Ovis aries: one gene and its partners. The protein of the gene in region 1 binds, or shares a complex with, the protein of each later gene. Links are inferred from orthologs where the notes say so. Each region holds a gene or a part of one and is shown on either strand. Other genes may lie near its edges.

Region 1 (4,079 bases):
TGCCCAGATCCAGGCCATAATTTCAAAAAGGAGATTTCTAAAGAGCAAGAAGTCTGATCTCTTCTGTGTCTTGTCCATGCCCTAGTTTTCTTACAGCCCACCCAAAAAACAATTAGCAGAATGTTAGTAAAAACAAACATGTTATCTAAAACGTGTCTTAGGTGTCCTTCTTTTTGATGATTTTAAAAAGAAAAAAAAGGGGGGTGAGGGAAGGGGAGTGGGATCGGGAATTGAACCCCAAAGGCATTCTTGAATTTGATCCCTAAAGGGAATTCAGCAAAAGTGAGTTGAGGCAATGGATCTAATCCAGGCTGTCTCTCCCACCTTTCACCAAACATAAAATTTTCCCATTAAGAAAATGAGCGGCAAAATAAGAGTTCCAGATACAATCCTATAGGAAGAACTCTGAGGCCTTCCTACCCTAACAAAGTACATCCAATTCTCCATGAAGAGCTGTCAGGTATCAGCCAGAACTGGCAAACGGCCATTGTGACAACAGCTATTAAATCCATTGTTGGATTAGGTGGTAGTTATTTAATAAAGGGCCAGGAAGTGCTGAAAATCGTTAAAAATCATTCTTTTTGCTTTCGATGTGAGATTCCTAAATTGTTGAGTCTCAGAAAAATGAGAACCTTAAGACTCTAAAAAGATCAGCTTTCCTAGCAGTCTGAGTGCTAATCTATACTTTATATCTCTGAAAGGATTCCATTGTTTCCTTCAACTTTAAAAGACTGGACTGGATCAAGGCCATACCAAGTGGGTAGTGCTCTAAAAAAGTCACAGGGTTGGAGCTGTCCGTGGAAAGCAAAGAGGCACTCAGTTTCAGCTCCACCCAGCCCAAGGCCTGACCTCACTGGAGAGTAGCTGCTGGAGAGGTTGGCCAGGTGCCAGACATGGGAGGCAAGGGGGCCATCTGATGTTGTACACAGGAAAAGCCGGGGAAGAGCATCGCCTAGAAATCAGAGTGCTTTATGCCCAGAAGACCATTAGGAGAATCTGAAGAAACAAAATAAGAATCTCCAAATGGTGGATCAAGGACCACAGTGAAGAAAGTAGCTTCTGGCTGTCAAGGGAGGAATACATCACTTGGAAGAGATGATTAAACAGAAACCAGACAGGAGTCTGTGCGGGCAGGGCTGAGGAAGAAATTTCAGATGAATTGTGAACTCATTCCTGCCCTAATGCCTGGCATCACCTTTTGCAATTTGATGAAATATGCTGGAGGCAAAGATCACTGACAGGGTGTTTCCGTGGGCCTGGCCTCACCTGAAGGGCAGGATATAAGTCCACGGCTGCAGTTTGAAACTCATGCTGTAGGGGAAAAAGAATCTGCAGTAACTGCAAACCTCTCAATGGGAAGCACTACCTCCCAAATAAAGCTGAGGCAGCCTGCCAGTGGGAATCCAGACCCATAACCCAGCAGCTGAAACGCCATGACCCTACCAATCTAACTTGTCCTCAACCACAGTTCAGTCAAGAAACCTCTCCTTCAGATGGCCGGCCTGTCCGGGTGTGACTCATTTCCTCTTGGAAAATGCCCTCTAAAATGGCACAGTTCCCCTTTTCCTTCAGGGGAGTGTTCTGTCTGAACCATCTGCAGAGAGTCTGGAACCATCCAGACCACACCCACATGGTCTCACAACTGAGTCACAGGCTTCCACTAGGAGAATCCGGGAGCCCTTTGTGCTAACCACGCCCTGCAGAAACCTCAAGGGAGGGAAGCGGGTGGGCTTAACGTATTCCAGAGTCTGGACCAGGGCCCCGTGGTGCCTGGCACAGGGCTAGCTGCTCTGCTGGCCCCTCCACCCTCGCCCAACAAGGCAGATTCCGGGTTTCAGTTAGGTGGAGACCGCCCGAGGCTGGAGAGTGCGGTATTCAGGTCTGGGGGCAAAGCACCAGTCCTTTGCCAGGCTCAAATTGTGTCCAGGTACCAACAGTTCATTTTACTGGGCCAGGTTAATCTGGGGTGTTAGATCCTTCATTAAACTTGCTCTTCCTCTATCTCTGTATAGATCCACTAAAATAGCAAGAAGGGAACCCTTTCAGTACAAAACCCACTTCAGTGGTGGCCGAAGGTGATGGCTTCCCCTTACCCCCTCAGCAAAACTGTTTTATAAGGAAAACAAATAGAGCCGTCTTCCCTCCGCTGGTAGAGAGAAACTTCTCGTCTAGCAGACAAATAACAGGAAGCCCAACCTTGAAGCTTCGAGGAGAGGGACAGAGGGGTGTCCTTTAGGGCGAGAACCCGCCAGCCCTCTCCGAGTCTGCACGGGCCGTCCAGCTAGGAGGCTACGAACATCTGGACAGAAGTCAGCCTGCAGCCGGAGCCCACAAAGAAACAAGCCGGCCAGGACAGGGGGCCAGAAACAGGGATTCGGGTAACTGCGGAGACCAGTCGAAAAGCAGGAGGGGTGTAAACAAAGATATACCGAAAGGTAGCGCAGAGCAGACCCCGGGGCACCGACACCGAAGTACTGGTAAAGGCCAAGTGCTCCCTCCTCTGGGGGTCTGGGGGGGTCGCGCCGGGGAGGGACAGGGGAGGTGCTCGCCCAGCTGGGGTGTGGCCCAGAGCTCGGGGAGAGGATACCCCCGCATGCCCAGCCGACGCCGGACCACCACCATCGTCGCACCCCCACACCTGGGACGCCCGGTGAAGACCGCCTGGCCAGCGGGAGCCGCCGACGTGGGGATTTCCCCGGGCGCGGGCTGTGGGGCCGGGGACCGCCCGGGACCGGCGGGCAGGACTCACCTTGGCGGGAGGCGCAGCGGGGACGCTCGGCTGGCGGGGACGCGCGGCCAGTGAGCACAGCGCCGCGGGCAGGGCGCCTTAGTACGTGGGGGTGGGGGGCGGGGGGAGGCAGGAGGAGCCTGGGCGGGTGGCAGGGCCTCGGCTCACCCCACCTCTTCCCCTCCCTCCTCTTCCTGCCCGCCTCCCTCTCCCCCCGCCCCGCCACACTCACACCCCGGGCGCAGCGCACACACCCTTCTCTCGCTATGCGGAGTAGCCTCGCTCCAGGCCTCCACCCGCCCCCAGAGAGAAAGATATTGTCAACTCTTCCTACTCAAATGCTCTCGAATATTTTCGTGCCCTTCCTCTAGGGTTTGCTTTTAGCGAGTAAGTGTGGAAATCAAAGAATCCAGTCGTTCTGCGGGTGGGGCGCGCTGGCCCGGAACCAGATTGTAAGCTCCTCGTCTGTAAACTACAGGTCTAGGAATTATTTTCTACATGATATTGTAGGGAGGGGCACCTGACGCAAAGGCCTCAGACTTGGTTTCAGATTAGACTCTAAGAGGTAAATTGGGAGGGGGGGGGTCCAAGGCCTGCGGGGGGTCTCCCCCTCACCCGCCGCCCCGCCTAAGGGTTGTTCTCGGAGAAGGCGAGTTCACTACCCGCCGCAGTGAAGGGGGTGGTGGTGCTGTTTGGCTTTTTAGCTCCAGGGCATTAAGAACCTTTCGTTGAACTGGAAATTGACCCCTCTTAGCGTGCGTGGCAGTTGGTCTGGCGTTCAGTTTCGGCTGTAGTTGACATGATTAAAACCTGTTTAAGAATCTCCTTTTTTTCCTTTTTTTTTTTTCCCCTGAAATTGGCCTGTTTGGTCCTCAAAGCACTTCGGAAGTAATTTAGAGAAAACCTAAGGGTTTCCTAGCTGGTGCTATCCACTCCCCCACCCCCAACATTTATTTTAATTGTGGTTCAGGGTTAAATGCAAACTACTAGCAGCTGTTGGTGGAAAAGGGCCCAGTCCCAAGTCTTGGGTTTTCCTTTGTTCCCAGGGGAGGTCCTGGGAGGAGTGAGTGATCCCTGAGGAATGAGCAGTCTTGGGGAATCCTCCAAATGCCTCCATGTGACTAATCTGAGCTCTTGCCAGGAAAACTCGGATTTCAGTTCTCACTCCACTGAGTTCCTCAACCCTGGTGCTGAACGTTCAAGGGGGCAGTTCTGCAGCCTTCCCATAGGCTTCCTAAGCTCTTCCTAGGCTGTTGGCTACAGTCAAGAGTGGAGAAAATTCTCGGTCCCTTTAGTTCCAGGAAAGATGCAACTGGATTTAGAATGAGAACACCTGAGTTCCTATACTATG
Region 2 (3,516 bases), about 140 Mb from region 1:
AAAAAATGAGAAGTTAATAGAGTTATTTTTTACATTTAATTTTAAGTCCCATTAAGAATCATGTTAAATATCTGTCACGTGCAAATTTTACTTGGAAGTAAAACAGAAAGAGATTGTGGAGGACCGAGAAGCCTAGAGTACTACAGTCCATGGGGTTGCAAAGAGTCGGACATGAATGAGCAACTGAACAACAACAAAAAGTATCTAACTGGGCAGACTAGCAAGAAAAAGAACATGGAGGAGGACCAATAATGAGAAGGTAAGGGCAGTTTTTAGGATCAGAATGCCAGAAGAAACTGAGATAGAAGTGTTTAAATACATAAGATAACCTATTACCAAGGTTGTAAGATAAGTAAAATAGTAAGTTTACTTGAGAAGGTAGAGCTTTCACTAACAGAACCACTGAGTGTAGCAACCCAATCTGAGAAAATGGGGAATGATTTCAAAGAATTATTTCTGATTCAGGATTTATTGAAAGTTTACTCTCAACATCTGAAAAGCCTGAGAAAGGAAATGAACTGAAAAAGGAGAAAACAAGTAAATAAGTGAGAAGACACTGCTAAGTATTTATCTTCCAAACTCACCTTTAAATATTCTAAACAATCTACACTAAAATTTAGATCACAAACATAAACGCATACAAAACACAACCAAGGAGACTGAGTTTTAAAAAAGGAACAGGTGGTAAAACTAAGAAGGGATATGCCTAATTAATGCAACAGCTGCTACCTAGCTCCAGTCAAATGATGTCAAGTGGAAATCAGTATCCTGTATTACCAGATCTTCCATTTATCAAGAGAAAACTTTGTAAATAATGTTTTATAATTAGGGAAAAAATAATATGCATAAAATGCAGAACATCCACATATTTTAATACTGGAAATAACCGAAAAAATTTAAACACTGCAGGCAAAATCAAACTCATCTGGAACTGATCACAGACTATCAGCTTACAACCAGATTTAAACAAACATTCCCAAACTTCTAAAATCAATACACTAAAAGGCCTTTTTTTCTCCTCAAAAAAATTAGAGATACCAAGGGAACATTTCATGCAAAGATGGGCACAATAAAGAACAGAATTGGTATGGACCTAACAGAAGCAGAAGATATTAAGAAGAGGTGGCAAGAATACACAAAAGAACTATACAAAGAAGATAACCACCAAAGATAACAAAGAAGATAAACCCAGACAACCACGATGGTGCGATCACTCACCTAGAGCAAGACATTGTGGCCAGTCAGGTGGGCCTTAGGAAGCATCACTACGAACCAAGCCAGTAGAAATGATAGAATTCCAGCTGAGCTATTTCAAAGACTAAAAGATGATGCTGTGAAAGTGCTGCACTCAATATGCCAGCAAATTTGGAAAACTCAGCAGTGGCCACAGGACTGGAAAAGGTCAGTTTTCATTCCAATCCCAAAAATAGGCAATGCCAAATAATGTTCAAACTACTGCACAATTAAACTCATTTCACACACTAGCAAGGTCATGCTCAAAATGCTCCAAGCTAAGCTTCAATAGTACGTGAACCGAAAACTTCTGGATGTACAAGCTCGATTTAGAAAAGGCAGAGGAACCAGAGATCAAATTGCCAACATCCACTGGATCATAGAAAAAGCAAGAGAATTCTAGAAAAACATTTGCTTCATTGACTATGCTAAAGCCTGTGTGGATCACAACAAACTGGAAAATTCTTTAAGAGATGGGAATACCAGACCACCTTACCTGCCTCCTAAGAAATATGTACACAAGGTCAAGAACCAACACTCAGAATCGGACATGAAACCACCGACTGGTTCCAAACTGGGAAAGGAGTACGTCAAGGCTGTATATTGTCACCCTGCTTATTTAACTTATATGCAGAGTACATCATGCAAAATGCCAGGCTGGATGAAGCACAAGCTGGAATCAAGACTGCTAGGAGAACTATGAATAACCTTACACATGCAGATGATACCATCCTTATGGCAGAAAGCAAAGAGAAACAAAAGAGCCTCTTGATGAAAGTGAAAGAGAGTGAAAAAGCTAGCTTAAAACTCAACATTCAAAAAACTAAAATCATGGTGGACAAAGGTCCATCTAGTTAAAGCTATGGGTTTTTCCAATAGTCACATATAGATGTGAAAGTTGGACCAAAAAGAAGGCTGAGTGCTGAAGAACTGATGCTTTTGCACTGTGGTGTTGGAGAAGATACTATAGAGTCCCTTGGAGAGCAAGAAGATCAAACCAGTCAATCGTAAAGAAAATCAACCCTGAATATTCACACTGGATGAACTCATGCCAAAGCTGAAGCTCCAATACTTTGGCCAACTGATGCGAAGAGCCCACTCATTGGAAAAGATCCCGATGCTGGGAAAGATAGAAGCCAGGAGGAAAAGGGAACAACAGAGGATGAGATGGTTGGATGGCATCACCGACTCAATGGACATGAGTTTGAGCAAGCACTGGGAGGTGGTAAAGGACAGGGAAGGCTGGCGTGCTGCAGTCCATGGGGTCGCAAAGAGTCAGACATGACTGAGTGACTGAACAACAACAAAAAGGCTTTTTTTCCTAAAAGATTGTATGGACTTTTTAATATTTGAACCAAAGTCTCTTTTTCTCCATGGTAATAATTTACCAGGAAAGTGAGGGAATAGCTATCTGATGGTTAGGGTAGTGCAGGCAGATGATAAAATTAAAACATTTACTGAACATATACTAAAGGTATAGTCACAGAAGTTGTCAGAGCAACTATACATATCCTTAAATTCAAGATCACCACAATTCACAATTATTGAAACTAAACTCCAGAAGTGCATTACCCTTCAATTTGTGCCAATTTGTTGTCCATGATATAGGCCAAGGCAGCTGCAAGATCTTTCTTTATATGACCAACCTGATTTCCATTCACATTGTTTACTTTAATTGCATTCTTATCATAGGGGTTATTCGGCTCTCGTTGTAATGCAACCATTTCATTATTATTAACCTAATAAAAATAAACAGATATGTTATAAATAATAAATATATGATAGATTTCACTGTACTTTATCTGGGATTTCCATTCATTTTTTTAATGCTTGCTGAATAACACCACACATAAGAAATGTACATTTTCTTAGACTCATATTTCTACAGAAATATTACAGAATATATTTTAAAATAATTCTTTTGCAGTATTTTCCTAATTTACATTAATTGGAAAGTTAAAAAAATCCTTGATATATAAAAGGTATAATCAAAACTAACAGATACACATTATATAAAATTCCCAACATAACTTCAAAAACAGATAATCTCCTGAATGCTTATTACATACCAAACATTGTTCTAAGTACCTTATACAGACTGACTTTCAAAACTGTCACAACCCTACTGGTAGGTCTTATCATTATCTCCATTTTGCAGATGAAGACACTAAAGCACAGGAAAGTTAAGTAACTTGTCCAAGGTCATAAAGTTAATAAGTAGCAGAGCTTAGAATTTGAATCCAGGCAGGCTGGTTCCTAAGCCTAAGTTCTCCAGAATCTGAA
Region 3 (3,516 bases), on another chromosome or scaffold:
AGGGTACAGAGGATGCCTGAGGCAGTTGAGGGTTTGTATGTGATACAGCAGAAATGAGTTTTGATCAGGGTATGAGTAAAACAGTACAAGTAGATTTCAAAATGATGGGTAGGTGACCAGACTCAGGGCAGGTGGTAGAGAAGGGAGCTGGGGAGGGCGGAATGGAGGTGTAGGTGGCCAGGATGGAGTGTGCCCACTTGTCTTCAGGGTTCCTGGATGAAAATTCCTCTTCCCTTGCAGCGCTCAGAGTCATTAAACTGCACATGGGTCAGAACTCAGACTTAGAAGGGAAGTGCCTTTCAGCTACATTAATGTGTTAACCTTGGCAAACAAGCAAAGAGCTTCTCCCCAGGCAAACCACTACCTGGGCAAACCATCCCCTAAGAAATTATAACAGGTGAAAGAAACAAGAGGGTCACTTCCCACTGGGTCCTATGTGACAACATAGAGAGGCAAAATGACTTTCCCCAAGTCACAAGGCTGGCACAGAAATCCAGGCCAGGAGCTAAGAGCTGCCTCTTCCACCTCTGGCCCCAAAGTCCACCTGACCATACGGTTTTGCAGGATAAGAAATCCTATTATACAAAAATGACAACTCTGCAGTTGACAGTGCAAACCCACTGTCAAAATACAGCTGGAATTTCTGATGCAGGCCCAGAGGACTGAGTTAATTCGCTCCCGAGTATAAAATGAGGTATGTAACTTGCTTTGGGAGGAAGCAAGGACAAAGAAACGAGCCGGAAACTAACCTTTGCGAGGGCGACCATCAGCTTGCGGAAGTCGCCAGATGTGTCGGAAACAATGTCCTTCTCCAGATCGGTCTTGTACACTTGGAAAACAACACATCTGGTTTAACACCTCCTGCCTACGCAGCCAGCCACCCTACCCATCCTCTGCCCACTAAGCCTCTGAAAAGCAGAAATCTGTGGCAGCGTGGATGTACCCCTAAAAATGAGGGTGGATTCTCAAGAAGGAATTTTACCCTCATAAAATCAGAACTAGTATTATTATATTATTATCAGTGACAAGCAATACACAGAGCAGGATCAGACAGGGAATTCTCAAGCTCGCCTTTGATTAGGGACCTCCTGTCTAGCTAAAATACTACTTCCCAAACTTCTTGATTATACTTATTTAGAACATGAAAAAATTTGGAGGACTACACACACACAAACACAATTGTGCTTTATATCCACTGATTGAGAAAATGCACAATGGCAAAAAATTAGTAAGAATTAAAGGGTACTTTTGAATGAATTTGTATTTTCCTACTCAACACCTATGTTGAAATGAAGTACCGCACACCAGGCATGCTGCATCACTCACTCCACCTCTGGCCTCCTCTACTGCTTGGCACACGTGGTTCTGCTGTCTCTTGAAACAATGACCCACAGTCAAGTCTGGGAATCGCCTCAGCAGACACAGGACAGCACTCAGTACATGAAATCCACGGGGGATACTTTCTACTTCTCCCCATCAGATCTCTTTTGTTTGATAGTCTCTGCTTTCCCTCCCATATATCCTTCTGAACTAGTTTTAGGGGGATGTAGTCACAAAGACCAGGCTATCAGGAGATGGAGGAGAGTGACCTGGTCACAGCAAACCCCTGGACAGTCCAGATGGCAGGTATTTCTACACATGGAATCAAGGGATCCTATCCTGAACACCAGACCAGGAGGCCAGGACAGTGGTCCCAGACACAAGGTGGAGTGGATGCACCATGGACCTGGGGCTACTCACTTTCCTTGTAGACTCTGTTGATCTCCTGCAGCTCCTGGTTGGTCCTTGAGCAGATGATCTCAATGAGAGAGTCCTCATCAGTCCCCAGCCCCTGGGAACCAGGCAGCACAGACATTAGCAGGGAAACCCCTCCCGGCCACTAGCCCACTTCTCTGAACTCAATCAGGTAAACTGCACGCATGAGTTCGGTCTACAGTGCGTCCCTTTCTGCATTCCTCCTGAGGGATCTGTACTGAGTCCTTGGCACAAGGTAATGTTATATTCTATTCCTTTAAAAAAAAAAAAAAGCTTTACTAGAATAAAGGACAGTTTAACTGGCATTTTTTATTTTTAGCTCAACTATATATATATATATATATATATACACATACACACACACACACACACACACACACACACACACACACACACATATATATATATATATATATTTCCCCACTATATATAAACATATAGTTAAATGGGAAGAGACAGTAATGGAATATACCAACATGTTAGAATACAGCCCTTTTTGGCGATGGGTTTATAAAATGAATAACTTCATCTTCTCTTTGTTTCTTTATTTTTCAACTCCTCTAATAATCAGCCATTATTTTCACAGATAAGAAATCATTTACTTTATTACACAATTCTGCTCATTAATTTAAAATAAAGGAATATAGAGATTTTGAGCTGTTGTTGGCAGCCAGCATTGTTAGACTGAAATAAGTCTTTTATGAGGGAAAGGTATAGATAAGATAAAATTTTTAGCTTTACCTCTTTGAAATGTAAAACTGGGTTAATGTTAAAAATTTCATTCTTGTACTTCCATTTTTGCTTGATTACTATGCACTCTTCAGGCATTTTAGAGAAGCAAAAGGAAATAATGAAGCGCCAAATAAACCTAGACACCAACACTTTATTAAGGAATGAGAATTTGATGGGTGATGTATTCAAATTTAATATATACACTTTTGAGCTGGCGTGCCAGATAGCTTGAAAGGACTCAGTGAAACATGTATTTCAAAGCTGGCTTCATGATCAAAGTCAAGATTTAATAATCAGGATTCTCTAATACTCATCTTTCCGAATATGGAAATATCACTTTGAACTAAGCAGAATTACCACTGTTTAAAATGTAAATCAATTATAAGGTGTTAATACAATAAGAAACTTACTTATCCACATGAGAAGTGTGTCAGCTATTAATTAAACTTATTAGAGTTTATGTGCCCCTGAAAAAGTAGTTTGTATAATATGAGCTAAGCCTCAGGTTAATAGTTAATTCTGAATTTTATTCCTCAATCTAATCTATGAGCCAAAGCCTCTTCTCCCAGAGTTTTTAATCATGATTTGTAGAGGTGCTTGCAAAACCAAAATTCCTTCCCTTAGCAAAAGGTCTACACAACATTCTATAAGAATATTATACAGAGACTACCAAGCATCTTCACATATTTTAAGGGGCAGTTTGTCAATCTCGAGGATGTAAATATAGTCTAAAAAATAACTCATGCATTGGAAGAAATGTTATTTCTTAACATTGTTGAAATGTAAAATAGGTACAGCAACATAGATTTGTTTTCTTGCATCACTGATATGCCCATTTTAACACAGGAAAATTCTGAGTGTTTTTTCTCTATATTTAAAAGTGACCTTGGCAATTTCAAACTTGGCCCAAGCTCTCCACAGACTGTCCACAGTTCCCATCACAAGGGCAATGTCTACTGTACCATACGGCAGATATTGCCAGTGGTACTGCCAGAAGTCAAAACAGATTTTTTTTTAAGCATTGTTCAG

Evidence for each region. The genes of interacting proteins can lie anywhere in the genome.
Region 2: the proteins of S100A10 (region 1) and HLTF are in contact, whole or in part, in a crystal structure (PDB 4HRE), measured with the Homo sapiens proteins. The link is inferred for Ovis aries from reciprocal best matches to the Homo sapiens genes S100A10 and HLTF. Residues at the interface, in NP_002957.1 of Homo sapiens: Phe42, Asp58, Leu59, Asp60, Gln61, Gln70, Ser74, Leu75, Ala77, Gly78, Leu79, Ile81, Ala82, Tyr86; in NP_001305864.1 of Homo sapiens: Thr32, Phe33, Phe34, Pro35, Phe37, Phe39.
Region 3: the proteins of S100A10 (region 1) and ANXA2 are in contact, whole or in part, in a crystal structure (PDB 4FTG), measured with the Homo sapiens proteins. The link is inferred for Ovis aries from reciprocal best matches to the Homo sapiens genes S100A10 and ANXA2. Residues at the interface, in NP_002957.1 of Homo sapiens: Phe39, Gly41, Phe42, Asn45, Gln46, Ala51, Lys54, Ile55, Leu79, Ala82, Cys83, Tyr86, Phe87, Met91; in NP_001002857.1 of Homo sapiens: Val4, Glu6, Ile7, Leu8, Lys10, Leu11, Ser12, Leu13.

The regions. Positions count from the first base shown.
Region 1 is NC_056054.1:101,966,219-101,970,297, forward strand, and holds the start of S100A10 (protein S100-A10), read right to left. Parts: upstream 2,802-4,079; 5' UTR 2,750-2,801; intron 2,478-2,749; exon of another isoform or gene 2,194-2,477; intron 1-2,193. UniProt on the Homo sapiens protein: Because S100A10 induces the dimerization of ANXA2/p36, it may function as a regulator of protein phosphorylation in that the ANXA2 monomer is the preferred target (in vitro) of tyrosine-specific kinase.
Region 2 is NC_056054.1:239,824,515-239,828,030, reverse strand, and holds part of HLTF (helicase-like transcription factor), read right to left. Parts: intron 2,973-3,516; coding exon 2,806-2,972; intron 1-2,805. UniProt on the Homo sapiens protein: Has both helicase and E3 ubiquitin ligase activities. Possesses intrinsic ATP-dependent nucleosome-remodeling activity; This activity may be required for transcriptional activation or repression of specific target promoters.
Region 3 is NC_056060.1:48,019,922-48,023,437, reverse strand, and holds part of ANXA2 (annexin A2), read right to left. Parts: intron 1,832-3,516; coding exon 1,741-1,831; intron 830-1,740; coding exon 750-829; intron 1-749. UniProt on the Homo sapiens protein: Calcium-regulated membrane-binding protein whose affinity for calcium is greatly enhanced by anionic phospholipids. It binds two calcium ions with high affinity. May be involved in heat-stress response.